Linked DNA regions of Astyanax mexicanus. The protein of the gene in region 1 binds, or shares a complex with, the protein of each later gene. Links are inferred from orthologs where the notes say so. Each region holds a gene or a part of one and is shown in the gene's direction. Other genes may lie near its edges. The genes, in order: polr3c, polr3k, polr3f and polr3d.

The links.
Region 2: polr3c (region 1) and polr3k share a complex: the UniProt entries of both Homo sapiens proteins name them as parts of the RNA polymerase III complex. The link is inferred for Astyanax mexicanus from reciprocal best matches to the Homo sapiens genes POLR3C and POLR3K.
Region 3: polr3c (region 1) and polr3f share a complex: the UniProt entries of both Homo sapiens proteins name them as parts of the RNA polymerase III complex. The link is inferred for Astyanax mexicanus from reciprocal best matches to the Homo sapiens genes POLR3C and POLR3F.
Region 4: polr3c (region 1) and polr3d share a complex: the UniProt entries of both Homo sapiens proteins name them as parts of the RNA polymerase III complex. The link is inferred for Astyanax mexicanus from reciprocal best matches to the Homo sapiens genes POLR3C and POLR3D.

The regions. Positions count from the first base shown.
Region 1 is NC_064413.1:36,253-43,504, forward strand, and holds the start of polr3c (DNA-directed RNA polymerase III subunit RPC3), read left to right. Parts: upstream 1-4,247; 5' UTR 4,248-4,407; intron 4,408-5,045; coding exon 5,046-5,192; intron 5,193-6,019; coding exon 6,020-6,284; intron 6,285-6,396; coding exon 6,397-6,603; intron 6,604-7,252. Other genes in the region: rnf115a (E3 ubiquitin-protein ligase RNF115), read right to left, coding at 111-169, 3,324-3,401. UniProt on the Homo sapiens protein: DNA-dependent RNA polymerase catalyzes the transcription of DNA into RNA using the four ribonucleoside triphosphates as substrates.
Region 2 is NC_064410.1:60,607,054-60,614,062, forward strand, and holds the start of polr3k (DNA-directed RNA polymerase III subunit RPC10), read left to right. Parts: upstream 1-4,003; 5' UTR 4,004-4,154; coding exon 4,155-4,265; intron 4,266-5,672; coding exon 5,673-5,760; intron 5,761-6,836; coding exon 6,837-6,964; 3' UTR 6,965-7,009. Other genes in the region: snrnp25 (U11/U12 small nuclear ribonucleoprotein 25 kDa protein), read right to left, coding at 24-98, 1,013-1,118, 1,254-1,344, 2,243-2,487, 3,773-3,857. UniProt on the Homo sapiens protein: Core component of RNA polymerase III (Pol III) which synthesizes small non-coding RNAs using the four ribonucleoside triphosphates as substrates. Can mediate Pol I proofreading of the nascent RNA transcript.
Region 3 is NC_064430.1:23,772,272-23,779,808, reverse strand, and holds the start of polr3f (DNA-directed RNA polymerase III subunit RPC6), read left to right. Parts: upstream 1-4,528; 5' UTR 4,529-4,655; coding exon 4,656-4,711; intron 4,712-6,005; coding exon 6,006-6,123; intron 6,124-6,888; coding exon 6,889-6,956; intron 6,957-7,054; coding exon 7,055-7,122; intron 7,123-7,537. Other genes in the region: dzank1 (double zinc ribbon and ankyrin repeat-containing protein 1), read right to left, coding at 134-234, 597-648, 1,024-1,129, 1,800-1,953, 2,036-2,144. UniProt on the Homo sapiens protein: DNA-dependent RNA polymerase catalyzes the transcription of DNA into RNA using the four ribonucleoside triphosphates as substrates.
Region 4 is NC_064426.1:19,991,561-19,998,603, forward strand, and holds the start of polr3d (DNA-directed RNA polymerase III subunit RPC4), read left to right. Parts: upstream 1-4,039; 5' UTR 4,040-4,168; intron 4,169-5,326; 5' UTR 5,327-5,333; coding exon 5,334-5,495; intron 5,496-5,590; coding exon 5,591-5,634; intron 5,635-5,737; coding exon 5,738-5,892; intron 5,893-6,352; coding exon 6,353-6,477; intron 6,478-7,043. Other genes in the region: nitric oxide synthase-interacting protein, read right to left, coding at 173-308, 423-504, 1,577-1,682, 2,450-2,519. UniProt on the Homo sapiens protein: DNA-dependent RNA polymerase catalyzes the transcription of DNA into RNA using the four ribonucleoside triphosphates as substrates.

The DNA.
Region 1 (7,252 bases):
GGGCTGGACTTCAGGCCTTTTTTTACTGCAGGCTGAGGAAGAAACCGGTCCTGCTGGAGTTTCAGCATACCATCAGAGTGAGCGACAGAAAACCAGATTAATCATCTCACCTGGAATCTTCCGTCACCTCCTCGATAAACCCAGAGTCACAACGCGGGCAGATATACTCCTAAACACACAAACAAACAGACATTAGCATTCTCCAAAACTCCGGCAGCAGAAACGCCACGTAAATAACTAAAACTCACCAATTAAAACTAGCTTTATCTTTAATATTTCTCTCTCTATTATTGTAATTAACCAGCAATAAAATACCCATATCTAAGACATTTGTATTTAGTTTGATACTTCTGATACTAAAAGCTTCCTCGAATGAACATCAGTTAATAACAGATGTTGAAAATACTGTATATTACAACACTAGACCAGTTTATTACAGCTGCCTCTTTTACTCACTCTAAACATTTAACTACTATAAACATTAAACTATTATTATGTTTATACGGTAACACATATATATTACGTTTATACGGTTATTTCAAGAGATTCTACACTACTTAAAATAACTACACTCTAATACATTTTTACATTAAAAGCTGAAATGTGTTGCTCTGTAATAATAAAATATACCGGCCAAACATAAAAGAATTTAAAACGAGACACAAATGAAAAACTAATATTAGACCAAATTTTGATTAAAAGTTTACTTAGCAAATAAGAGCTGGCCTGAAGACTCTTATTATGAAGATCACAACAGTGGATTGATTAGCCACGATGACTAAAGGCTAACTGGTGATGCGAACTATATTTCCGATCTAAATTAACCTCTGTTTAATAAGAGTGATGTCGCTGTGCTGTTAGATTAGTAGATCCTGTTGTTTGATTTGATGTGGATTAAATCTGTACAATTTTCTATCTTTCGTTTTTATTATCAGAACTCATGTAGTTTCACTTCTAGTGAACCTTTTATACAGTTACACTATATAAATATCATTTATTTAGTTGCAGTTGTAAATGCTGAAAACTGAAGCTGAATATGTTTTGCCACATTACTAAAAATATAGTTATCATAAATATACCCTGAAACACTGTGATATTATTTTAGGGCCATATTGCCTCCCTGGTGAATATAATATATTATTGTGTTTTTTGTAACAGTTTTGAGCACATTTTGGAATTATGAATAATAAACAGTACGGTAACTGTGGTGAGACACCATGTCTAATAGTGTTTTACACCTGTAGTTGGTTTCTCTGCTCTAAACCTGCTCTAAAGTTTGTTTACTGGGAGAGTTTCTCCCTCGGTTTGGTTTGTTTTCACACAGGTACAAACCTAAATGCAGCAAAGCGCTTCCCAACCAACCACGCAAGCACATTCTCCTCTAATTGGCCAGAGCTGTCTTAGCAAGAAGGTAAATATAGCTAGAAGGTTCTGTGTTCCAGACCACTGTGTTTAGCTGCTCAGTGTGAAGCTGATTTAACACTAAATGCTGGAAATTTGCTAGTTTTTTTAAATGAGATGTTTGTGCAGTAAACACAGTTGCATGGCCGTGAGCATTGAACGCTGCATACACAGCGTTCAATGTCAAACAGCTTGGCATACAGCAGCAGCAAAGATTAGTATTAGTTAATAGCTGTAGTAATTATCTGGGTAATAAATCAGATTAAACTGCACCTGAACCGCAGTTTAGCTCAAACATAAGGAGTATATCTGAATATCGGGTCAGATCACCTTCTCACCAAAAACAGAACCACACCGGAGTTGGTTTAGAGCAGGACAGAGACACCTGCTCTCACGGGTTCACACCAGCCATAAACTGCAACAAGAGTCCAAACCAACCGGAGTCCGTTTTAACTGGACCGAGCAGCGCTGGAGAGAAAAGGCTTCTCAGAGCAGACTTATCAATCTGAGTGTCAAAATACTGCTATATAAAAAAAGTGTTAAAATAAATTTACCATACTTAGATTACAAAAACTTAGATTAATTTATATAAATTAAGGACACAGACTTGCTCGGACCACTGTTCATGTTCACCACTGATTTAACACTATCAGATACAGAACTGTGCTCACCAATATATCCACTGCTACTCTAAACAATACCATTTACTGCTCACATTACATTTTAGAAAAGCTCACAGTGTATAATCTGAGTGTTAAAAATTACTAACTATGACAACACTAAATCAAGCACTTCTGACACCAATCTTCATATGTAAACTATTCCTTACTTACACTGAGTTACTGCAAACAGAATCACATTCTCACACCCATAAAATAAAGACTTTGAGCTAAATTAACTTTAAAACTAACTTTACACTGAACCTGCAAACTTCAGAAAAACAATCTGCTTCCTGTAATGATCATCAGTGACAGGTGTTTACATAATGTACATAAAAATATCAGAAATATGCTTAATATTCATAACATCTTTATTACAATATTTTGTACTGAGATATATGGTGATATGCCAAAAGTTAACCACGAAATACAACACAAACACAAAATACAACACACACGATTGGTCACATTTCAGAGGAATTCCCCTTTAAACTCTTTAATATTTAGTTTTATTTCACTTTCAGTTTGTTTATGGTTTCCAATCAGGATCAGCTGCTTTCTGTGCTACCAGCCCCACACACACACACACACACACACACTTACACAAACAGCTAATGCAGCTGATCCGGATTTCAGGAACTGAATTGTGATCAGTGTAAACTCGGAGAGCGGCAATGTTTTGAGGGTTCTGATAGCTGTGTGTTGTTACCACCACAACAAATCAATAAATTATTTCAACACATATTAAACCGCAATTTAATCCGCATTAAATCCCAAAAGTAAAACAGATCAGAACAGAGGAAGTTCTTTTATATCACTTTCAGTTTAACTGTGGCCTTCAAACTCGAAACCCCCCTAACCCAGATACTCTCTGAACTAACGTTACTGAACTACAGTACCAACTCACTCTCACACCGGATTATATAGCACACAACTATAAACCAGCGGCCAAATCTGGATCTCAGAATCCGAATTGAGATCACAGCAACAGTGGAAACACAGCCGCCGCTGCGAGCCTTAGACCGGGTTACAGCGGAAGGAGGTGAGTTTAACAGCTCGGAAAAGCCACACAAGTGAAACATAACTTAAACCGCTTTATAGTCCGCATTTAAACCCAGAAATAAAGCTGTAAATCCGGTTCTGGTTCAACCCAAAAACAACGGCGCTAACCCGAGCCGAGCTGCCCCAAGCAGGACAGCGGGCAGGCGGCGGCGGCGGCGGCACGAAGCGGGAGGAGAGCGGCGAGCGGACGGCGGTTCTTACCGGGAGTTTGGGGCTCACCTCGCCCTTACAGCAGTGACAGAAGAAGCGGTGCGGAGGAACCGCAGCAGCCTCCGCCATCTTACACACAGGGGGAAGAGGGCCCGAGCGCTGACGTCAGCGCCGGGGCGGGGCTAGGCCCGTGACGCCGTATGTGCCCGTTCGATTGAATTCAGCGAACCGACTCTTTTGATTCTTAGCTTTTTGATCGCGCGCCGTAACCCCCGTTTTCCTACAGGTCGCGCTGTGCTCCTGTTTACACAGATATTATAACTAATTTAATTTAAACTCCGAATTTCAGCTCTTATACGATGCAACCAAAACAACGTTTATTTAATGTTATTCAGGCCCAATCACTTAATTATTTACATTTCCCCAACCTCACTTACATTCAAATACACTTTACTCCTGATTGGGTATTCACATTTTCACATTCTCTTTTTAGAACTGTCTTCTAACGTATGCATATTTATATTATATTTCTATGTCACATCAATCACTTTCGTAATCAATGTCATTGCACATTGCACTTTACTCTGTTAATTATTTAATTAGCATTAGCAACATCTGCACTGCTCCGTTTAGAGATAGATCCTTACCTTGTATAGTTAGGTTTTTATAGCCTTATATATTTTCTGTTCTTCTGTGTTTTGATTTGTCTGAGGATGTTTCTTATTGTATTGTGTTGTTGCTGCTGGATGCCTAAATTTCCTTCGGGATAAATAAAGTATCTATCTATCTATCTATCTATCTATCTATCTATCTATCTAGATATTCTTCTTTTTATTATTATTATTATTATTATTATTATTATTATTATTATTATTATAAACAGCAATAACAATAATACTAGCGATAGTTATTGTTTGTGCGGATTTTTGAAACTGCACAGAATCGGCTGGTGATGGATTTGAATCAGTGAATCAGTGAATCGGTTCTGTAAGCGCGTGTGAGGTGTGTGTAGTAGCCGGTGTGTGTGAGAGGGTTTATAGATTAATCCAGTATTAAATTCTGTAATAATTCAGTTCCTGCCCGGTTTATTAAAGCGGTGCGGAGCAGCACTGCAGTGCAGACCGGAGACCCAAAGGTTAGTACGGCTCTTTATTTACTGGGGAGGCGGAGGGATACTTACCTACAGCCCGAAAGCCGCAGCAGCGCTACCCGGCTAAATCCGCCAAATCCGCCACCTAACTCAATAACTCAACCAACTAACTCAACTAACTCAGCTAACAACTAACTCAGTATCTCAACTAACTCAGCTAACAACTAACTCAGTATCTCAACTAACTCAGCTAACAGCTAACTCAATAATTAAACTAACGCTAACTAACTAATGTAACAGCTAACTCAGTAACTCAACTAACGCTAACTAACTCGGCTAACAGCTAACTCAGTAACTCAACTAACGTTAACTTACTCAGCTAACAGCTAACTTAGTAACTCAACGAACGTTAACTTACTCAGCTAACAGCTAACTTAGTACCTCAACTAACGCTAAATTACTTAGCTAATAGCTAATTTAATAACTAACGCTAACTAACTCAGCTAATAGCAAACTCAATAACTAAACCTACGCTAACAAACTCAGTTAACAGCTAGCTCAATAACTCAACTAATGCTACCTAACTCAGCTAACAGCTAACGTTAACTTAGTAACTTAAAATTGTGTGATTTTAGTGTGTTTATGTGATGTGTGTAAGTGTGTGTGTGTGTGTGTGTGTTTAGATGACGGCGCAGGAGGTGCGGTTGTGTGGGCTGCTGCTGCAGGAGCATTTTGGGGAGGTGGTGGAGAAGATGGGGACGGAGCTCCTGAGGAGTGGAGCTCTAAACCTGAGAGCTTTAGCCCATCAGACCAGCACCCCACTCGACCTGGTACTGTACTCTACTATACTCTACTATACTCTACTGTAATGAGAAATATTTTAGTGGGTGTGGTTTGTACACTACAGGACTAAATAATTACACAGATGATGAATTATACAATCTTTCACCAGGAGGAAAACATGGTGACTTATTATTACAGTACCCTCCCCCTGACCAATCACAGCTTTATTACAGAACATGCTAAGCTAAAGGTTTTTTTTTATTTTTTATATAACTTTATTTATAGGTTTTCACTTTTCACAATTTTACAAACAACAACCCAGATCCCACCCACCCAAGGGTACACAGAACACAAACAATACAAAATTAATAATTAAATGAATGATAATAATACCAAAATAGTAACATTAACAACAAAACACAATAATGGTAAAAACAGTGACAGTGATACCAAAACAAAAACAAAAAGGTCTGCTGCCTTGAGGAACACCTTAACATTTAAGCACATTGTATGGATTTATTTCTGAGTGTCATTTTATAATAAGTGCATGCTAAGCTAAAGTTAATCGACTGGACGTAAATTGTTATACTCCAGAACATGTTGTGCGGTGATGGTGTTTGTGCCGGTCTAAATTCAGATTTTTAGCAAAATGAGCCTAGCGTCTCCTGCTATTAACTAAATAAGCACAGCTCAGAGAGCAGAACTGTGTTGGCTGAAGAATTGTATCTGGGGTTTGAGATGATGGCTGTGTGATTTTGCTCCTGTAAGAACTGTAATAACTTATTATTCACTAAGCTCTGGCTCAGATAACCTTATAGCTCCAGTTAATTGTCTGTAGATTTTTGGTTGAACTTTCCCTTTAATGATCTCCTAGGTGAAGAAGTCTCTGTGTGTGCTGGTCCAGCATGGGATGTGTGTGTTTGGACCGGGCCGCCGGGGTCCCGGGGGTCCGGTGGAGTACACGGCTAACTGTGAGCGTATTCTCTACATGCTGCGCTACCCACGATACATCTACACCGCCAAGAGCCTGTACGGAGACACTGGCGAGCTGGTGATCGAGGAGATTCTCCAGAGGGGTCAGATGACCATGAGCTGCACCGTGAGGACCGTCGCCGACCGGCTGACCCACAGCATGGAGGGTAAGTGTGCGGATGTAGGAGTTTCCAATAAAGTGGCCAGAGAGTGGAAGCACAGGGTAGTGGTTTCTTATAATAAAATTAAACAGTGATACAATTCTGTGTGTGTGTGTAGATGGTCAGAGTATGGAATACAGTGAGGTCATCACTGCGTTTACCCGGTTGGTGGAGACCCATTTCCTGCAGCGCTGCCCTCCAGTGGACAGTATGGGAACAGCTGGAAAAGCATCTTCAGGATCATCGGACGCTTCCGCTGTTCCCCAGCCTGCTCGGCCCGAGACTCACCCAGACTGCTATCTAATACCACAGGTCCACCTCACCGGTCAGTATCTAGAACCTGGTTCCTAAAATTGCTCTTAGTCTATACAAAACCTTTGGCTTTACTAATGATGCCGGGGTGCAGCGTGCTGGATTCACTGCCTCCAATTTTGAAAAGGTTGGGGCAGTTTTGGAAAATATAGATTTTAATAAACCACAGTGTTTCTTCCATTTACTTTCTTTTATTTGTCACAATCACTGGCCTGTTGTGTAATGTAATATAAGGCTTGTGTTGTGCACAGTAAATTTGTAAGTGGTGTTAGTAAATTTAGTAATTCTGTATTGTAGAGTTTGTTGGTGATTAAGTTGTGTAAAGTCATCTCTTGTGGTTTTATTGTTTTTTGTTAAATGACGGTTTTTGATCCAGTGCTGTTTCCACACGGTCCGGACTTTTTCTGATTTGGGGATGTAGATTACAGTTCAGTTGCCTGTCAGCCACCTCTCTCTCTCTCTTTCTCTCTCTTTCTCTCTCTCACTTGCTCTCTCTCTCTTTCACTCTCTCACTCACTTTCACTCTCTCTTTGTGTACTAAACAATTAATCTCAATAAGATGTTTCCTCAGATTTCAGTTGTTACAGTTTTGGGTCTCATAAATAGTTCTGGGGAAAAGATTGTTAAAGGACTTTATGCAACACTGAAGAGATTATTTAGGG
Region 2 (7,009 bases), on another chromosome or scaffold:
GGTGTGCATCAGTGTGTACTCACTCCTTCAGTTTCCATTTGTCCTCCTCTAGTCTTTCTCCATTAAATACCAAGTGAAACGTCCTCCACACATATTTCCTTCCACATAGAAATAAAAAAAATAGAAATAAACATTTCTGATACTGTAATTTACACAAGACATTAAACGAAAAGTCATTTTATTATTAAATTGATTAATTTTAATAAATACTAGTTTATCTAAAAAAAATAGAATATCACTGAAAAGTTACTTTATTTTAGTAATTTAGTTGAAAACGTGAAACTCATCTATATATATTATATAGATGTATTAAACACAGAGTGATCTATTTTAAGCTTTTATTTATTTTATTGTTGATGATTATGAGGATTACAGCCAATGAAAACCCAAAAATCAGTATCTCAGAAAATTAGAATATTATATAAGAACAACTGGTACTTTTGGCAGTACTGTGGGCAGTGTGCAAAGTCCTGCTGGAAAATGAAATCCGCACTTAATAAAACACAGTGCAGATGTCATGTCTCTTTATCCAAACCATCACTGATTGGTGGAAACTTCACACTAGACCTCGAGCAGTTTGGACTGTGTGTCTCTCCACTCTTCCTCCAGACTCTGCTCCCTTGATTTACTTTAAATGAAATGTAAAATTTACTGATGATCAGTGATGGTTTGGAGAGACATGTCTGTCATCTGCTGGTGTTGATCCACTGTGTTTTATTATCAAGTCTAAAGTCAGTGCAGTTTTGTTTTCCCACAAAATCTTACAGCACTTCATGCTTCCCTCTGCTACTGACAACTTTTATAGAGATGCAGATTTCATTTTCCAGCAGGACTTGGCACACTGCCCACACTGCCAAAAGTACCAAATGGTCTTATAATAATATTCTAATTTTCTGAGACACTGATTTTTGTTTTTTTATTGGCTGTAAGCCATAATCTTCAACAATAAAAGAAATAAACACTTAAAATAGATCACTCTGGATCACTAGATGAACTGGTATATCAGGTTTACCAGCTGATGTGTTTGATGCCTCCTTCGCGCTGCTGCTTCAGCTCCATGTAGCGCTGAATGGCCTTCTTCAGATCCAGCACTGTAGCAGACTGCACCACCACGATGGCTGATTGAAAATTAAACTCAATCCATTAATGATTTTTATTGTACACTTTAAATTTTACAGAATAAGACTTTATCATTCAAAGCATCCATTACAGTTTATTCCAGAAACAACACCTAAACACATAAATTAACTTACGCATGATCTCTCCATCAGCTTTACACACTCGAACAGTCATGGCCTGCCCGTACTCCAGAGCCACCTGAGAGTTCACCTCCTCCAGAGTCACCTACAGGAGAGAGAGGATACAATTAACATCAGATCATATTTATTAGATCAATTAAATATGGTTACAGAATGTTCTATTTAAATGGATTCTTTATTGTTACAGTACAGTGTGTGCCTTATTCACTAACCACAAATTTAGAACAATAGGTAGTGCTTTATGTGTCCTTTTATAACAACATTAAATACTGTAAAACATGGTGGCGGGTGCATCTGTCCATGTGACAGTGTCGCTTCACAAACCTCAGTAAATAGACCATTATATGTAACAATACAATTTGAAATCCCAGTGGCTTAATAGATAATTTTTTCCAGAATCTCACTAATGTCTCCTGGACATTTTTTCATTGCAATTCTATTCATTGACTTTAATATACACATATTGGAATCCTGACTGTTTTGCAACTTCTTGGCACTGTATTGCATTAAAGGTCTCATTCCATCGTTTTTTTTATTTTTTTATTTTAATATGTCTGTGGTCTCTAATATGAATGTAAGAGCTGTTTTTTGGGTAAATAAAAAAAAAATAAAAAAGTGCTCCACTGATCTGGTATAACGCTGCTTTAGTCCGGTGGAGGAGTGGGCGGGGAGAGGCTATAGGATTTCAGCTCTTGCTCATGAATATTCATACATGCAAACATATCGCGGCTGATTGGCTAACAGCACTGCGACACCAGGAGGCAGCAATACGGACAACATTTTAAAATAAAGAGATTTTTACACTAATAACAGTCTTTGCAATGTCAGATTTGGGAGAAATGTTGTCTGTAGTTTATAGAATAAAACAACAATGTTCATTTTACTCAAACATAAACCTATAAATAGCAAAATCAGAGAAACTGATTCAGAAACTGAAGTGATCTCTTCATTTTATCCAGAGCTGTATGTCCCCTTATACACACCTGTATAGGCAGATCACACAGTAGAGGGTCCTGCACCATCATAGCCAGCCCTTCCTCAAAGATGTCCAAAACTTCTGAATGAGGCAGCGCCTCCTCATCTTCCTCTTCCTCTTTTAAAACGTCTTCAGCACTCTTCTCCATCATTTCAGTCTCTAGCATGTTTTCTGTCTGTGGTTCTGTCTTTAGGTCTTCTTCTTCCATTGTGGTCAATACTTTAAGGGGATTGCTAATCTGATTCTGGTCACCTGTGGGCAAATACACAACAGATAATATTAGAGATTATAGATTATAATTATTTATTAAATGCTTTTATAAACGATTATACGGCACATTCTAGAATTAGGGCTACATTTTTCTGTTACCTCTACAAATACAGTACCAAAGTCTCAAAGTTCAAAATTTGAACACAGCTTCTGATTTAATGTTTTTTTAATTATTTTTTTAAAGAAAGAAAACACACAAGGAATCATGTAGTAACTTAAAAGTGTCAATCACACCAAAATACTCTGTGAACATTTAGGTGCTCTTATCTGGGGGGCTGTTAACTTGTAGTTTCTGAGACTCTCTTGCTCTTTCTTTATTGGGCGGTCCTGATGAGTGCCAGTTTCATCATTACGTTTTTTGTGATTAATGTGGTTACGTTTTTTCTTTATAAATCATTGGTTGTTCAGATCAGCATTTCTTTCTAATTTAGTTTAAATAATTATTGAGCACACTTTCTGTAAATCCTATAAACTTTATTTCACTTTTCAAATATCACTTTGTTTGTCTGCTATATGAAATATTTAACTGAAATTGCTGATCCGAACAACCAATGATTTATAAAGGAAATTCATGAAAATTATTAGGGGTGCCCAGGGCAACATTATGTCTTGCAACTTAACAAGTTAAGAAAAAAAAAAGAAATAAATAAAAATATTATATATATATATATATATATATATATATATATATATATATATATATATATATATATATATATATATATTTAGTCATAAAAGGAAAACAAAATAGTCACAATAATAATAAACACACTGAAATGATAATACAATAGTCAACAGCAAGCGTTTTGTTGCCTGAAAGCAATACCATGCCATAAAAAGGGGTTAAAACCTGCTTTTTGCATTTTTTTTAGTTCACATGTGTCTGATATTAAAGTTTGTACAAATTAAATATGCAAAAAAAAGCAAAAACGAAAGAAAAGCAAAAGTAGGTGGGTAAATAGTTTTTTCTCTGCACTGTATTCACACTGCATCATAACTGCAGCGTTAAAACACCTTCAGCAACTGATTTAAAATATTTTAATACACAGCAATTTTGGGATTACTGACCAAAATGTTTGTAAATGAGGAGAAAAGCAGATAAATGAGCTAAATTAACCACGTTAGAGAGGAAATATGAGTGTTTATTTTTACTCAGGCCTCACTGGGTGTCTATAATAGATTTATATTTCTTTATTATCCTTAATAAATCGCTTTATAAGTGAATTAAATCAGAATAAACTGCAGCACAAACAAACACAGCACTTACCGTGTCCCCGCGTTACAGCGCCGGCCGGCAACACGCAGCTATAATATCTGAACCTGGGTCCAAAAGAACAGAGAAACTGGATCATACAACAGATTAACAACACGTTTAAACAAGATAATGTATTAATACGTGTTAAAACTGTATTAAATACTGATAAACTGCTATAACTGGTATGATTTTACAGTAGTTTAATCTGTGCTGTTTTTCAGACTGTGTGTTAGTCTGTGTTGTTTCCAGTCGGACTCGTTACTGAGGAGCACTGCTGTAGTTAGCACAGATAGCAGGAGGAGCTAACCGTGAGAAATATCCAGCAATTCTGCTGGAATTAGAGCATTAAACTAATTTATAGAGTTATATAGAGTTAGTATAGAGTTATATAGAGATGCTGCTGTTCTGTCCGGCCTGTGGGAATGTGTTAATAGTAGAGGAAGGGCAGAAATGTTACCGGTTCGCCTGCAATACCTGCCCTTACATTCACAACATCACCAGGAAGGTAAATCTATATATTACTAATATTATTAATATTCAGCTCTATATTAGTAATAAAACCTGTTTAATAAGGATATTCTCTATTGTTAGATCCTGTTCATTTCTCTAATCACTGAATTTAACCTATTTAATCCTGAATTTACCCCAAACACGTGTTGATTTAGCAACCTGCAGTTAAGTTACTGTTTTGATAAATAGTATATAGTATATTATATAATAGTATAGTAAAGTATATAGTGTAGTATAGTGTATAGTATATAATAGTATGTTATGTAGTGTATTGTATAGTAAATAGTACTATAGTATTGTATATAGTAGTATAGTATATACGAGTATATTGTAATATAGTATATAATAGTATAGTATATAGTAGTATAGTATATAATATAGTATATATAGCAATATAGTATATAATAATACAGTATATAGTAGTATAGTGTATATAGTAGTGTAGTATATAAAAGTATATTGTAATATAGTATGTAATAGTATAGTATATAGTAGTATAGTATATAATATAGTAAAGTGTATATGTAGCAGTATAATGTATAATAATAACACAGTATTTATTAGTATAGTGTATATAGTAGTGTTGTATATAAGAGTATATTGTAATATAGTATGTAATAGTACAGTATATAGTAGTATAGTATATAATATAGTAAAGTATATATAGCAGTAAAATATATAATAATACAGTATATAGTAGTATAGTGTATATAGTAGTGTAGTATATGAGTATATTGTAATATAGTGTATAGTATATAGTATAGTAAATTATATATAGCAGTATAGTACATAGAAGTTTAGTATATAATAATACAATATTTAGTATAGTGTGTATAGTAGAATAGTATATAATAATACAGTATATAGTACAGTATATAGTAGTATAGTGTATAGAAGTACAGTATTTAGTAAGTGGAAAAAAACAAGTAAGGTAATTTGTGTTTAGTTGGTTATATAATATTCTTTGTCATGCAGCTGAAATTGATTAGCTGAAAATATAATATACAATAGATTTGTAACTGTATCTCAAACTTATTATCTTTTTTATTATTTTACCCCATTCAAATTTGCACTGCTAAATTATTACATACCTGTGTACCTGCACTGTCTGTATGGCTGACATCTGTCCTCTTCTCAATATGCACAGCAAGTGTCCCTTAAATGTTTAATCAACGTTCATTTTTCCATCACTAAAAGGTTGACCTCCGTCATCAGAACTGATTTGTTTGTGCACATTGATTTTATGTTGATTCAACATTGATTAAACTTTATGGTTTTATATGCATGCTTTGTATTAAAGTTCACATTTGCATTTAAATGTGTATATATCGTTTGTGTTATATTCTTTTTTTATTGATTACCATATTGATGTGGATGTTTGTATTTTATTTGTTGCTTTCAGGTGAATAACAGAAAATACCCCAAACTGAAGGAGGTGGACGATGTTCTCGGGGGAGCTGCTGCCTGGGAGAACGTGGATTCCACAGCAGGTAAATATTGATGATCAATAAATGATTAAATAAAGAATTAACATATGGAAGATATGGCCTGGATGTTTATGATGATGTCTAATTTGGGTGAGTTAAGCGCTTCTGTTTATTTACAGTAAGCTTAGATTTCCAGATCTCCACAAAGGCTGGGTGCAGCAGCATTAGCATTAGCAGCTAGCACTAGTAAATGCTGCCCGACAGCACTACACTGAGGAACCCTGAGTGTTCCGGTAGGCCCGTTTTAACACGGCAAACACGCTGACTACAGACTGATATACTCTGCTTTGAACTACAAAAGAGCTAGCGCTTAGCTTGGTTAGCAGCTAGTGCTAATACTGCTGGAGAACTAAACTGAAACTCCTGTATAACTCTGTACTTCAGCGGAGAGGCTTTACTGCTCCTTAATACCTGACTGATAGAATTCATACATAAGGAGCACTTTTAAGTGTTAAGGATTTTAAGCCTTACAGTGTGAACAGTATCAGTAACAGTATATTTGATTTTAAATATTATGTGTATTTTACTAGAATTTCTAATGATTTCTCTGTGATTCTGATCCAGTTTGCTCATGTTTATGATGAATATTCATATATATTTATTTATCAGAATGTTTAAATCGCTTCCGTTTATTTACAGTAAGCTTAGATTTCCAGATTTCCACTAAAGCTTGGTGCAGCAGCATTAGCATTTGTGGCTAACCACTAGCGCTAGCAAATGCCTCCTGACAGGGCTACACTGAGGAACCCTGATTGCTCACGTTTATGATGAATATTCATACCTATTTATTTATTAGAATATTTAAAGCGTTTCTGTTTATTTACAGTAAGCTTAGATTTCCAGATTTCCACTAAGGCTGGGTGCAGCAGCATTAGCATTAGCATTTGTGGCTAACCACTAGTGCTAGCAAATGCCTCCTGAAAGGGCTACACTGAGGAACCCTGATTGCTGACATTTATGATAAATATTAATACATAATTATTTATAAAAATATTTAGATTGAGGGCAGGAACAGTAATAAAGTAAGTTGCAGTAAATAAACTTTATCATATAACTTTTTCCTGTCTTTTAATCTTCAGAAACCTGTCCGAAGTGTGAGCACCCGAGAGCGTACTTCATGCAGATTCAGACCAGATCTGCTGATGAACCCATGACCACCTTCTACAAGTGCTGCAGTCCACAGTGTGGCCATCGCTGGAGAGACTGAGCCGGCTGTGGATCTGTATGGACTGACTATTTATGGATCCTGTAT
Region 3 (7,537 bases), on another chromosome or scaffold:
GCCCTATGCAGCTGCCTACGGTGTCTGTGTAGGTACATTTCTGGGACGTGCGCAACAGGATACGTTTAGTTTTGATGATGAAGTATAAATTGGCTTTAATCAAAAAATAAAACATCGGCATCAGAACACTAACCTGTGTGTGTTTTGTGGGCTGGGACCCAGATGCTGAGTTTAATCGCTGGGAAAGAAACCGAGGGCCTTTTCGAACCCGACGGGATCCACTGAAAGAATTATCTAAAAATAATTTATAAAATAAAAAAATAAAAAATATTTATTAATATAATTAAATCATACATTTTTTTGTAAAAGTCCTGAGGAAGCAACTAGCTGGACCTCTACAATATTTAAGCTTTTTTACTTTTACTTTATTTCTCCTTTTTCTGTTTATATTTGTGATTTTAAAAACAACCAATAATTGAAAAAATAATGGATTAACTAAAGCTGCTGTTGTATTTACTTGTAGTTACGCTTAATTGGGAGTTTTTTAAGCCAACTAATATAATTATAAAACATATTAATAATTATTAACGTTTATGAAAGCTAATGGTTTAGCATAGGTGGCTAAACAAGCTGGATTTTTAAGCCCAAAAACATACCCAAGTGTTTTCCAGAGGCCTCTGCATCTCCATTCGGAGAGGAGGTATGATTCTGTTAAATATACATATTTAACTTAAATTAAACAAAATTATTAAACAACAAGACACAAGTCACATTTAGAAGCACAATAAACTTAAAACGTGAATAAGTGTCACTTTAACTACCCTGTTACACAACATTTTTGGCTAAATAATATAAAATAATAGTAAGGAAAGACATTATTTTTTAATAAACATTACAAATTCTCAATACGCTACACAGGATCAATCACAGGACTGTTTTTTTTTACTGATTTGTGTAGATTTAAATGTAAATGTGTTTTAACGTGTTTTAAGTTAATAGAATAATTATTTTCTTCTACAGCCCAAACTTCGACAGCTGGGATTCTGTAAAAAGTGTGAAAAAAATATATATAAATTAAAAAACCTGCTGGGTGGAGGAATCCAGCTGGTTTTCCTCGTAGTCCTGCAGCTCGGAGGGAATCTGCTCCACCACGAAGACTTTAGTAACAACAGCACTCTGCCGACCATCACTGCAGAGAAATACGAGAAGAACCTGTCTGTCAATCTGAAGCTTAACAATAATGCACATATACAATACAGCAAATACTGGTTACACCCAAAAGGTGCATAGTACTAAATACTTCCATACTAAACCGTACTAAAGAACATGTTGTAAGTTTCTTAGTGCTTTAAGAGTTTGGTTTCTGCTCGCCATAGATCCGATCAGCCAATCAGCTCTGCCTCCTGCCCCGCCTCTAAACCCATACATCACACAGTGCTCCTCCCAAACAGTTTAGTCCACCTTTAAAGCCCTATCCGCACGGCATTAGTTTCTCTTTTATGTTTTTTTTTATCCTCTGTGATTTTATTAAAGTGTAATTACAGTGCGCGGCAGTGGACAAATAGCTATTTTATTAAAGGCGAGGAGATGAAACTCAGAGATGTGCGTCCGGACGGGACAGAGAAAAACAGTAGATAATTCAGCCTGTAATTTTCTCAGAGGACGACTGAGAAAAACACGTACATGATCGTTCTGGACAGGTATAAAATCACAGAAGATAAAAACCCCCATAAAAGAGAAAATTACCCCAAAACCCCCTGAGAAACTGATCCCATCCAGATAGAGCTTAAAATCAATGGTTATCAAAAAATGCATCTTAATATGATTTTTGAGCATATTTGAGAGAGTTGGACCTCTACCTGGTGACGGCCAGCGCTCTCACAGACACTTTCCCGCTGGGTAGGTATATGGGTTCGCTGTAGGTCATGGTGCTGCTGCCTCTAACCTCCGGCCTCCTCAACACCTCCGGTTTACTCCCGTCCAGCGTGTAGAAAACACTCACATCAGGAGAGTCTGAAACCAGAGAAACCCTTTAATTATACAGTTCATACAGTAGCTCTGCATCAGTGCAGGAAAACAGTGAACTCATCCCCACCTGATTTAATCTCCACAGGTGTGCTGGTGTCTATCTCATGCTTGGCTTTACCAGGAGGCGGCACTCGGATGGGGATGATGAACGGAGCTGTGATGGAGCCTGCAGTCATTATCAGTCAGAGGGTGAAGCTGTTCAGAGGGACCAGCGCTCCAAATAATACGCTCTGATATTCTGTAATGAAGACAACAGCATCCATGAAGGATTAAAACATTTTTTTAAATGTACACAAAAACACTATATTTAAAAAATCTCCCGCAGAAGTGCAGGTAGGATATTTACATTGGTTAAATTACCAGTACCAGGTAACGTTATGGTCTAAAAAATATTTTAAAAATACTTATTGTTTAATAGTTTATTGTTTGCAATATTTTTATTGCAAATTTACTTTTTAAATTGCAATTTACAGTATTGTAACTTTCAAGCAGGTGGTTTAATGCACACAAGGAAAACGAAATGATTGTTAAAACACATTAAAACATAAAAAACATGGTTGGGCGCATGTGCAGTGCGCTTTATTATTATGGGTCCCAATAGTAGAGATGGGATGAAAAAAAAATCTCTATTGCAATATATTGAATCATTTACAATGCATTATTGATATATGGTGTAAAATATCACTATTTTTATAAAAACACAGGCTCTCTAAACCCCCTAAGATTTGCCCTCTGATTAGACGTAATGCTTCATCACTCCACAAGATAATTAAATGAAAATACAATTATATAATTAAATTTTATTTCTTTATAATACCTTATTGCATTAATAATATATGTTTAAATTAAAATAAATGAATAAAATGTGTGTTATATCAAGTCCAAAGTCAGTGCAGTTTTGTTTTCCCACAAAATCTTACAGCACTTCATATCTTACAGCTTCCCTCTGCTACTGATAACTTTTATGGAGATGCAGATTTCATTTTCTAGCAGGACTTGGCACACTGCCCACACTGCTAAAAGTACTAATTGGTCTTAATATATAATATTATAATTTTCTGAGATCCTAATTTTTGGGTTTTCATTGGCTGTAAGCAATAATCATTAACAACAATAAATACACACTTAAAATAGATGACTCTGTGTTTAATACATCTATATAATATATGAGTTTCACATTTTGAACTGAATTACTGGAATAAAGTTACTTTTCAATGATATTCTATTTTTTGAGATGCACTAGTATACTTTAAAATGTTTATACCTGTAGTGTAAAAGCTTTAAAAATGATAAATTCAATTTTTTTCTCAGTTGCTCCAAATAAACCATTAATTGTTGTCTCTCTCAGGAGCGCCCTCTAGTGTCTGATAAACCCGGAATCTCCTCTCTACAGATTCTCTACAGATATATAAGCCTCAGATCTGCAGTAAATTACAGATCCTGAGGGAATACAGGTGTTAATCCAGGTGCGGGTCTTTAGCAATGCTCAGCTCCTCACCTGTACCTGTGCTCCGGGTTCAGGCTGCAGATCTCCTGCATGTGTACCGTATCCACCGCTGCAACAACCATCAACTACACCGCACAGCAAAACGCGCTGCTATTGGTCCAGCGCGTAGCCCCTAGCAACCGTGTCAGCCAATGGCAAACGACCTTAGCTTATATGTCAGTCACAGAATAAAAAACATTTTTTTTCAAAGTGTATATTTGTTTATTATTCATTTAAAACAGTAAAAAAATACAATTTTTATACTTTTACAAATAAAAACATTATTATATTATATTATTTTTACGGTATTGTTCTTGAATGTTCATCCAACAGCAGATAGACTCTGAACAGTCTCTGTAACATCTCTATTCAGCTAGATAGATAGATAGTTGGTAATATATATATATATATTAAATATACATATATACATATACATATAACATACAGATATAAAACAAAAGTATTCTAAAAACATACGCATACATTACAAAAATATGATTGGGCGCATGCGCAGTGCGGTTAAGAAGCGTCCAGCTGGTTTTACAGTGCTTCTCGTGTTTATTTTTTGTTTTTGTTTTAAATAGAGACGACATGAACGAGAACTGCTTTTTTATTATTAAAAATAAACTGTAAATACGCTTTTATCTGAGCAGTTCATTTTTAAACAGGCTTTCCGTGAGACTCCTAAACCGAGCGGAACAGGCTGTGGGAGGGGGAAGGACCCGGTGTTTTGTCAAATTGTGTTACTTTGCCAAACCGTGCTTTAAATAAAGTATATTTAAACATAAAATACACAAAAAAACACTATATTTTTATCTCCCGCAGAAGTGTAGGTAGGATATTTATATAGGTTAAATTACTGTATCAGGTAACGTTATGGTCAAAAAAATATTTTTAAAAGACTTATTGTTTAATAGTTTATTATTTGCAATATTTTTTTATTGCAAATTTACTTTTTAAATTGCAATTTACAGTTTTGTAGCTGTCAAGCAGATTAAAAACACATTAAAACATAAAGAAAACGTTTAAAATATGGTTCAGCGCATGCGCAGTGCGGTTTAGAAGCACATATCGACGGGTAGTATTACTGGACAGTACACCTGCGGCACGCTGTTTCTGCTGTGTTTACAGTGCTGTAAATGTGGAGAGGATCTGGATGTTCTGCTGTATCTAGAACCCAGGTTCTGATCGGTCAGCAGTGATGGGGGATGTGAAGGTGAAGAAGGAGAATCCGGATCCGGTGGATATTGAGAACAGGTGAGTTTCAGTAGGCGAGATCAGCCCTGGGTTAAAGTCTGATCACTGAAACCTGCAGGTTCTCAGACTCTCCAGACTCTAAGAGAGCTGATCCAAGTGTATCAGTACATTTTAGAAATTTTTGAATAGTAAATAAAAACGCAAATAAAATAAAACATGTTTAAAAGTTAAAAAAAAGTTTTATTACATTGCATACAGTATAAACCAGAGATCCCAACTTTCATTGAAATCCAGGGAGTCTCCCAAATTTTATTATGGGTTCTCTGATGCCTGCAAAATATATTTACTATTCCACCGATTGTGTGCTATTTGCTGTTGTAACTCTTCCAAATAAAACTTTTATTATTTTTTTAAATCTTTTTTCAACTCTAAATCTAATATTACACATGTTTAACTATTCCAAACATGTACTGGTCAAACTCAGGCAGCTTTACTTCTTTTTTTTTTTTTTTTACAAGTTTCTAATCTGAAGATGGTTACAAAACTCACGTGTCATTTAAAAACATGTTTAAAAGTTTATAAGTCGACTAATTCCTTTAATTTTTCACTCAATAAAGTCTTTATTTTAAAGAAATGGCTATAGACTGCATGTTCAAATAATTAATATTTATCTAAAAAAAATACAAAAAAAATGACTCCTGTTCAAGACACTCCCTCCTGTTACTGGCACTCCCTCCTGTTACTGGCGCTCCCTCCTGTTACTGCCGCTCCCTCCTGTTACTGGAACTCACTTCTGTTAATGGAACTCAGTCCTGTTACTGGAACTCACTCCAGTTACTGGCAGAGACTACTGTTAATTAAGCATCGAATTAGCAAAAACATGAAAAATAGCTAAATGGCGTGTGGACACTGATCACATTCTAGTGATTTTCTCAAAATTTGTATTTTAAAAAATATAAACAAATAAGATCTAAGAACTAATTTAGGTAACAGGACTGAGTGTTAAAATTGGTCTTCTTAGTCATAGTTAGGGTATAATATAATAGAATAAAATTGGAATAGCTGTGGTTGACCCTCTGTGTTGGAGCATTGATCTCTACATTAATCAGAACAGGACCTGGTGAGGTCTAGTTATTTTAGATTCTACTTTGAATTATATAAACAATTTACATAATTACATAATTTTACGCATGTTTTTTTTTTTTCTGGGACCGATAACGTTTTTATTTGATAACTCTGTAGTGTGTCTTATCATAAAACAAGGGGTTCTAACCGGATCATTTATGATGTATAGAAAATTATAGAAAATTATAGAAAAAGCTTGATGATGTATATTAATTTGATTTGTGTTTAGGATTAAGGAGCTCTGTCAGCAGTTTCCTCATGGCATCACTGATCAGGTGATCCAGAATGACCTGCCTCATGTGGAGCCCCAGCAGCGGGCCATGGCCATCAACCGGCTGCTGTCTGTGGTGAGTGTTCAATACCTGCACAGGTACTAACAGACCTGGTGGAGGAAAATCAAGCCTTTATATATTTGCTGTTTATTTATATATTTGCTGTATATCTTTGCTGTCCAATGAAAAAAAAGTATCTCCATTTTTGTCGATTTTAATTTACTACATAATTTGAACAGACAAACTGTCCTTCACACTGTGCCAAAATTTCTTGATGAACAGACTAATAGAAACTCTTCAAAATGACCTGAAATAAACTCTTTTTACATTGACTTCCATTGAAAGTTTACAATGTTTTTTTCTCTCTCCTGTAAAGTTGCTGTTTTGGATGGAGATAAGTGTTTTTCATTGGACAGCGACGATATGCAGTAAAATAATATATATATAATATACAACCCTGAATCAGTAAAAGTTAGGACAGTATAAAAGATTTTAATAATTAATTAATTTTAATACATTTAAAATGATCAATTTAACAAATTATATAAGTTATGCCTAAAATCATGTTTTTAATTACACACACAGTGAGAGAGAGACAAATAGACCATCATAAATGACAGAAGGACGTTTAAAGGAGCTAACCACTAACCTAAAATGAGTTTTTGCAGGGTGGGATGTCACAGAATATTGTCATGATAAATCAGATTACATTTTTTAATCGAATGACACCACTAGTTTGAAGATTATATCATCATTATTTAAATATTTGTTTTAATCTGAATAAATATTAATATTTAATTGTTCACATTCTTAAAGTAAATTTTGCATTATGATCTGCAGGGCCAACTCGATCTTCTCAGAAACAGCAATGGCTTGTTGTACAGGCTGAAGGATGTCCAGTTGGCAAGGTAAAAGCCTTTAACTTATTATTAAAGAGTATTTATATAAAGATTTATATGCTTTTACAACATGTTTTGATGTTTAATGTGTTTTTATGTGTTTCCAGTAAAATGAAGGGCTCTGACAACCAAGAGAAGCTGGTTTACCAGATTATTGAGGATGCTGGGAATAAAGGTAAATAACCTGCTCCTAATTGTCATTGTCAGGGTTTTTGGGGGGCTACGTGGAATCAACACGGGGTCTGAATACATATCATTATGGTTTATTATGGTTTGAATCCTGGTTATGCAGCTTGCCACCAGCTGCCGGAGCCCCGAGTAAGCACAGTTGTCCTTGCTCTCTCTGGGTGGGTACAGTACAGTAGATGGCGCTCTCTCTTTCCCCATCAGCACTCCTAGGGTGATGTGGATCAGCACAAGGCTGCATCTGTGAGCTAATGTATCAGAACCGAGTCGCTGCGCTTTCCTCCGAGCATTAGTGCTGTGATGCTACTTGAGGCGGAGTCTGAATTCATATGTGTTGGAGGAGGCGTGTGCTAGTCTTCACCCTGCTGGTGTTGAAGCATCACTAGTAATAGGAGATATACAAC
Region 4 (7,043 bases), on another chromosome or scaffold:
AAGTCTTCTTTAAACCTTTATCTTTAGGGAACCAAATGTGGTTATTTTATTTAACAAATTCTTTTTAACACTGAATATAGACTCCTCTGCATGACAATAAATTAAATAATATGAGGTCATAAATGTACATAAGTGTATTACACAAACATGAACTGAATTTGTCCCCTTGTACCTGAAATAAAAGGATTGATTGGTTTGGAGACAATGCTGCCCTCTCTTTTCTTGAACTTCTCTACTTTCTCCCTCTCCTCTGAGCAGGACTCCAGCTGTCCCTCACTCTTCAGAGCCTGTTTCTGCTTCTCGTAGGCCTTGGGGAGTTGAAGCATATAAAAGAGAGGGAGAGATAAATACTAATATTGTAAGGATTGTAGTATAATATACAGAACGTAAAGAGTTGAGCTGCAGTCAAAGCCTTCACAAACCTTCATCTTCTTAGCAATATCCAATTTCTGATGGAGAATGTACTCCAGTATTGCCTCTCTTTCATAGAGGAATCCATCTTCACTGTAAAGCAACAGACACATGAGAATAAAGATCTAGATCTCCTAGAGAATTATCTTGTTTTGTCTTTTTGATGTTTATTTGTATGTTACAAAAGGACCTTGGTTTAACAACCCCAGAAATATCAGGACAGTGATTATGAATTCAATTGTGTATTATAATAGAAAACTACATAGGAAAAGCTAAGATTTAAAAAACACTGTCTAATTAATAATTTTAGGTTATTTTAGAGTAAAGGTTTCTAAATTGTTTTAAATTATTAAAACATAAATTCTAAATTTATTAAATTATTATTTATTTTTATTGATATTAAATAAAGACTAATAATTCATTGAAATTATGGAACCTTTTAAAAATCAAGATAAAGACAGAAAGGATAAAACATAAATATATAGATATATAATAAAATATATACGAGACATATAGAGTACCTGACTAAATTTGGACACACCTTCTTATTCAGATTTTTCCTACATTGTAAATGAATGCTGAAGTTATCCAGACTAAGAAGGATAACATAAGGAATCATGTAGTAAACATAAGTGTTAAAAAAACCAAAATAGTGAAGCATTTAGGTGGCTTTTATCTGTGGTGCAGTTAACTTGCTGTTAACTTGCTTTAAGGTGTGTCCAAACGTTTATTTGGATACTGTACATGAAGATAGAGATATAAAATATGTGGAGGTTGCAACATAATATACATATATACATAAAATTGTTAGCATGCAAGTAAAATGCTGTGCAATTAAATAACGATGAAAAAAAATCCAATTTATTATTTTTATTATGATCACTTTTCATATTAAGGCATTATTACTAATCGTAATTCTACAGGTGCAGATTCACTAGTGTTTATTGGACAGTACATCAAATGCCAGTTTTCGTGTTGAGGTCAATGCAACCCCTGTTTCCACTGCTGTAAATTAATTTTAAAAAATAGCTGTACAACATATTTCACTCTTAATGATCCAGACATATTAACTACTGAATAATACAGACATCATGCTCAGTTAAATCCCATATATTGTTTTAGCTGTATCTAAGTTTAAGTTTATAACTTGTGAAAGTCCACCTACGTTACAACCGGGTCTCTGCAGGGCTGTAATGAGAGGCAGCAACAGTCGAAATCTTTAATCGCGTCTTTCCCCAGGCGCACACTCTGAGTTCCATATCCAGAAGCAGCTGTAGGGAATAGACAGAGGCCATCAGAAGACAAAACAGGAAGACAGTTCTGGCTCCCACATCATGTTTTAATTGCGGTGAAAATTATAAAAAAAGAACAGGAAGTAGGAAATAGGTAGTAGGGAGTAGCAAGTAGTGAACAGGGAGTATGGAACAGGGAGTATGAAGTAGAGAGTAGGAAATAGGGAGTAGGAAGTAGAGAACAGAGAGAAAGAAGTAGGGAACAAGGAGTAGGAACTAAGGAACTGAGAGTAGGAGGTAGAGAACAAGTAACAGGGAATAGGGAGTATGGAACAGGGAGTAGGGAGAAGAGAACAGGGAGTATTGAACAGGGAGTAAGAAGTAGAGAGTAGGAAGTACAAAGTAGGGAACAGAGAGTAGGAAGAAGGAAACAGGGAGTAGGGAGTAGAAAGTAGGGAACAGGGAGGAAGGTCTTCTTAAAGCTCACTTTTTTCACATTATTAGCAAGTGTTTTCTTAACTGGGATTTGTTTACATTATAGGATAATGGAGTCCACTGTTAAAAAAGCAGACATGTGAACAATTCTGTGGTTTAAATCACATCATGAATCATAGACTCTTTTTAGGACTTTAAAATTTGGGAGCTTAAAATTTGAAAAAAAGTCTTAATAGTTAATATAAATTGGTGAATTGGGTCGAGCTGTTACACCTTCTGGACTCGTTCTGTGTTTCTGCAGCTGTATTTGTGCAAAGCTGCAAACAGAGAAAAAAAAACATTTACACATTTTAAAGGAGCCAGAAACAGACCTGTATCTTTCCTCTTCTCGTGGTAGGTGTACACAGCTCCCGCAGTGCAGTTCTTCCCGTGTCGGGTCATGTTTGGTTTTCAGGGGCTTTAATGAAGCAGAATTATAAGATTACACTTAGCTAGCTACCATCAACACAACCAACACTATTAAAACAGTTTAACTAACTAGTTAAGCTAGCGTTAGCAAGACATAAAAAACCAAGCAGTACAAACACTCCAGCTAGTTTAGCTAGCTAACATAGCTTAGCTTGCTAACAGAGCTGCTCCTGTACAACCAGGTTAGCGACAATACAGCTAACTGAAACAGTGCGCTCTTCAACTGTAGCTCGAGGTAGCGGGATAGTAGACGTCAATTTATCAGTATTTAGACTGTTTTTACATCAGAGGTATAAAAATAAAGTACTTATAAAATATCAACCGTGCAGTTTGTTTACCTCGAGCCAAGCTGGCCGGAATAGGAAGTGACCCACCGGCTTGAAAGCTTTTTCAAAATACAAGTGTGACAGGCTTCATAATTGGACAGGAAATCTCCACATCATAAAATATTAATTACATGTGTTATATATAAAAGATTGAAATGTATGTAGTGGAAAACCGCTAATATATTATGCGATAGTTTATAAATATCGATTTAATGCAGATATACTCAGAGATATAACTTACTTTTACAGAAGACAATACCCACTTGAGAATATGTTCTGGGTTTGTCAGTCACTAGAGGGCACTCCAGAATGATTCCAAATGAATGAGCTCATAGCAATTGAGCAAATCATAGATTGTAAATGGTTTATATTTTTATATTGAAAAATCTCAATTTCTCAACACGGAACCATATTAAATGTTTCACATAATTTTAAAGCTCCAGTACGCGGTTACTTCAGCGTCAGCTCACAGACAAGTCATCACACAGTAGCAGTATTGCTAGTGTCTCTGTTTACCAAAAACATTTGTTGTAGAAAAATGTTTTGCTTAATTTTAGCAAAATACTGTAATATACTTTACAAACAGTAAGAATATACTGGTAGTAAGTAGTAGACACTATTATAAGCCATTTAGCTTCATTCACCACCATTTATTAACACATGCGCTCCATTTACCGTATTTTTTATATAACTGGGGAAATTGAAAATGTGCAGAAAATAGTCACAACTGAAAAATGCTTCTGATAAAACGTAGGGAGTAAGGACTAGTGGAAAAGGGAGTAGCGAGAGGAAACAGGGAGTAGGGAACAGTTTGTGGGGAGTAGGCATAGTAGACAGTGAGGAACAGAAGTAGGCATTAAGGAGTAGAGAATAGGAAGTAGGGAATAGGGAGTATGAAATAGGCATTAGGGAGTAAAGAGTAGGGAACAGGGAGTAGCCAACAAGTAGATAGGAACAGAGACTAGGCAGTAGGGAGGCACTATTGGAATTGGAAACAAGCAGTAGGGAGTAGTCAACAAGAAGAAACAGGAGGTAGAGAGTAGGGAACAGGGAGTAGTCAGTAGGGAACAGGCAGCAGGAAAAAGGACTAGAGAGTAGGCAGTATGTAGTAGGGAGTAGGGAACAGGGAGTAGGGGTAATGCCGATTTGAGCGCACCGACATGTTTTCCGTCACTTCCTCTTTCGTGTCGTTACTAAAACTCCGCCCTATTCTAACTTGTGTCTCGTGAGATTTATTTTTATTGGTTTAATTTGGAAACTCTGAGGAGCTCAGGTAGGACAGCAGGCAGCTCGCAGGTAAATACCTCGTCGTTTTCTTCAGTGGCAGTAAATTATGAGCTAAACTAGCCCGCCGGCTCCCTGTTCAGCGGCTGAGCGGCCGGCAGTTTAGCCATGTGTTGCCATGTGTTTACAGTGAGGGAGGGAACTGCAGCCGCTCAGCACTTTTAAGTTACCTGTAGCAGAACGGTTACATAAAGTCCCTGTGAGAAAACAGTGTAAACAGCGAGGTCTGCACAGTTAATTTGGTGGCGTCTTACTGCTGTCAGGAAATATTTTAAATAAAAGGCACAAATAAGGGACTTACAATAGCAAAGCCAAAAAAATAATAATAATGAAAAAAATGGAATGGTGGTGATTTTGTGCTTATTGATATTGGGTATTTTAAGTAGTTAAAACTAGTGTGTATTTAGTGTATTTTGCCAGTTTGAATATGCAGTTTGTGGGTTATGAAGTTTGACATTAATCACAATGAAAATTAACAGGTTCTGATCCAGTATGTAATTATCTTGAATTTGTAGTTTTTAAGTGTATAGATAATCCATACTGTTAATCCAGTATGAATCTACAGTTTGACAGTAATAACTTTAAAGTAATTTTAATATAGCATGAATATGTATATGTGTCTTATGTTTAGCCAATATAAATATATAATGTGTTTTCCAGCATGACTGTAGTAACTTGAGAATATATATACACTGACAGCAGTAATAGTGACCTGATTGTAATCCTGTGTGAATATTGTCGCTGTCCGCTAAAAAACAAGTTCCTCCAAAACTGTGACTTTACAGCAAAAGGCAAAAATTTTCATAATTTCCATGGAATTCAATGCAAAATAAGAGTTCATTCCACATTAATAGATCATTTCTATTGGTCCATTCATCAATAATTATTTACACAGTGTAGAGAGCATCCACAGGATTCAAGTCATTCACAAAACATAAAACAGACAGAAATGGAGGTTTTCATTGGACAGCAGTGATGAGCTGTATGTGTACTGTTTTATTTACTAATCAGTAACCATTATGGAATATTATGGAATATTAGTATGAATCTGCAGTACTTTACACAGCATGTAACACCATATTAACAATAGTTGTCGTACTGACTATGTAATGCAAAGCACTAAACAATTCACAGCAATGATTAAATGTCAAATTTTGCATGTAATTATAGTGTGAAAATGGCCACACCAGGCTCTGGTGATTCTGGACCACCCCGTACCCCTCAGCCTGGAGGTGGTGGCAGAGGTTCAGTGCTTGGCCGCAGGCTGCCTGCTGCTCTCTCTCCCGGTCGTCTCCCCACCATGCGCTCAAGAGACCTCACACTGGGAGGTGTAAAAAAGGTACACCAGATTGCATTGTTTTCACTGGTAAAAAAAAAAAAAAACAGTGTCAGTGTATTAAGCAACTGTGCTCTCTCTCTTGTTCTGCCCCACAGAAAACATTCACACCTAACATCATTGGTCGTAAAAGTAAAGAAGAGTAAGTTTTTACATGAGTGTATTGCAATCAAATGTCTTTTCCAGTGTAATATAATGACCCTTAGCTGGCCTTACTTTACAGTAGCTGTGCTGTTTTGTTGCAGATTGAAAGCTGATGAGGGACCCAGGAGAGAAAGGAAAGATGCGGATCGAGGGCGGCAGCGAGACGGGCGTGGCAGAGGTCGGGGTCGCCCAGAGGTCATTCAGTCCCACTCTATCTTTGAGCAGGGCCCTGCGGAAATGATGGCCAAGAGGAGAGGTATGATAAAATACAGGTCAGGGGGAAATGCAATGACAAGAACCACAAAAAATTTAGTATTACTCTACCATCTATTTCCACATGCTTCTATCACTTCTGATGCCAACAGTGTATCTCTCAGCTTATTAACAAATGCATATGTACAGCCTGTTCATGAGTGGGAGCACAAAACTCAGTTTGTATTTACTGCAATGAAATAGAAGTGAATTACACTTCACAACTGTAGGGGAAACCCAGGAGAATAATACTGCTTTAAACTAGTATTAATAAACAGGCTGGGCCAAATTAAATACTCATTTTTATGCTAACTATACAAGGTCAGCCATTTAACCATTTGACCATTAAAAATAAAGAAAAATAAAGAAGCACGAATGTGTACTTTATGTAGTACCAGTAGTTCTCAGCAGTAAAAGAGAATCATGCATTTTTCTTGCTTTCTGACTTTTTGTTTCTTTGTTAGGTGTATATGATGATGCAAGAGAAACGCCCAACACTGGCCCCTCCCCCATCATCAACATTAAGAAGGAGAAGAGGGAGACTGAGGAGGAGACCAAAGAGATTCTGCGCAAACTGGAAAGAGACAACGTAAGTGTGCTTATGGGGCATGAATTCCAAAAAGGGAAATAATTAAATATCTAGCAATGGCAGTCCAGACTGAAATGTGATTAAAAGGATAATGTTTTTAAAAGTTATTTGTCTTCATAATTTCTAAAGGCCAGAAACGTTTTATAAAATAATAATATTGTAACAAAAATAAAACAAAATATAGCCAAAAGCGGCAGTCTAAGTTTAAGCACAAACTGGCACAATGATGCCTACTAGAGTAAAGGTTGGTGATGTTTCAGAAGGTCTAATACAATTTGGGACACACTGTCACATTTTGGAGATGGTCAAAAGGCTTTCATCTGTTATCATTGTTTATCAGAGTCCTTAAAACATAATCAGTGCTTAATTTTATATATACAAATCTGTTGAGGTTTGTAGAATATTCATTCATATTCGTTAGAATGTGCCAAAGGTTTTCCACATGTTGTCATTGTTTATCAGGAGTGTTCAATTGGAAAGTTCACACATTTTTTGTTTTTCCAGATGACCTTTTGACCTTTTCAAAATACGCTAAAGTTTTGAAAAAACTAGTCAAACTGACATGA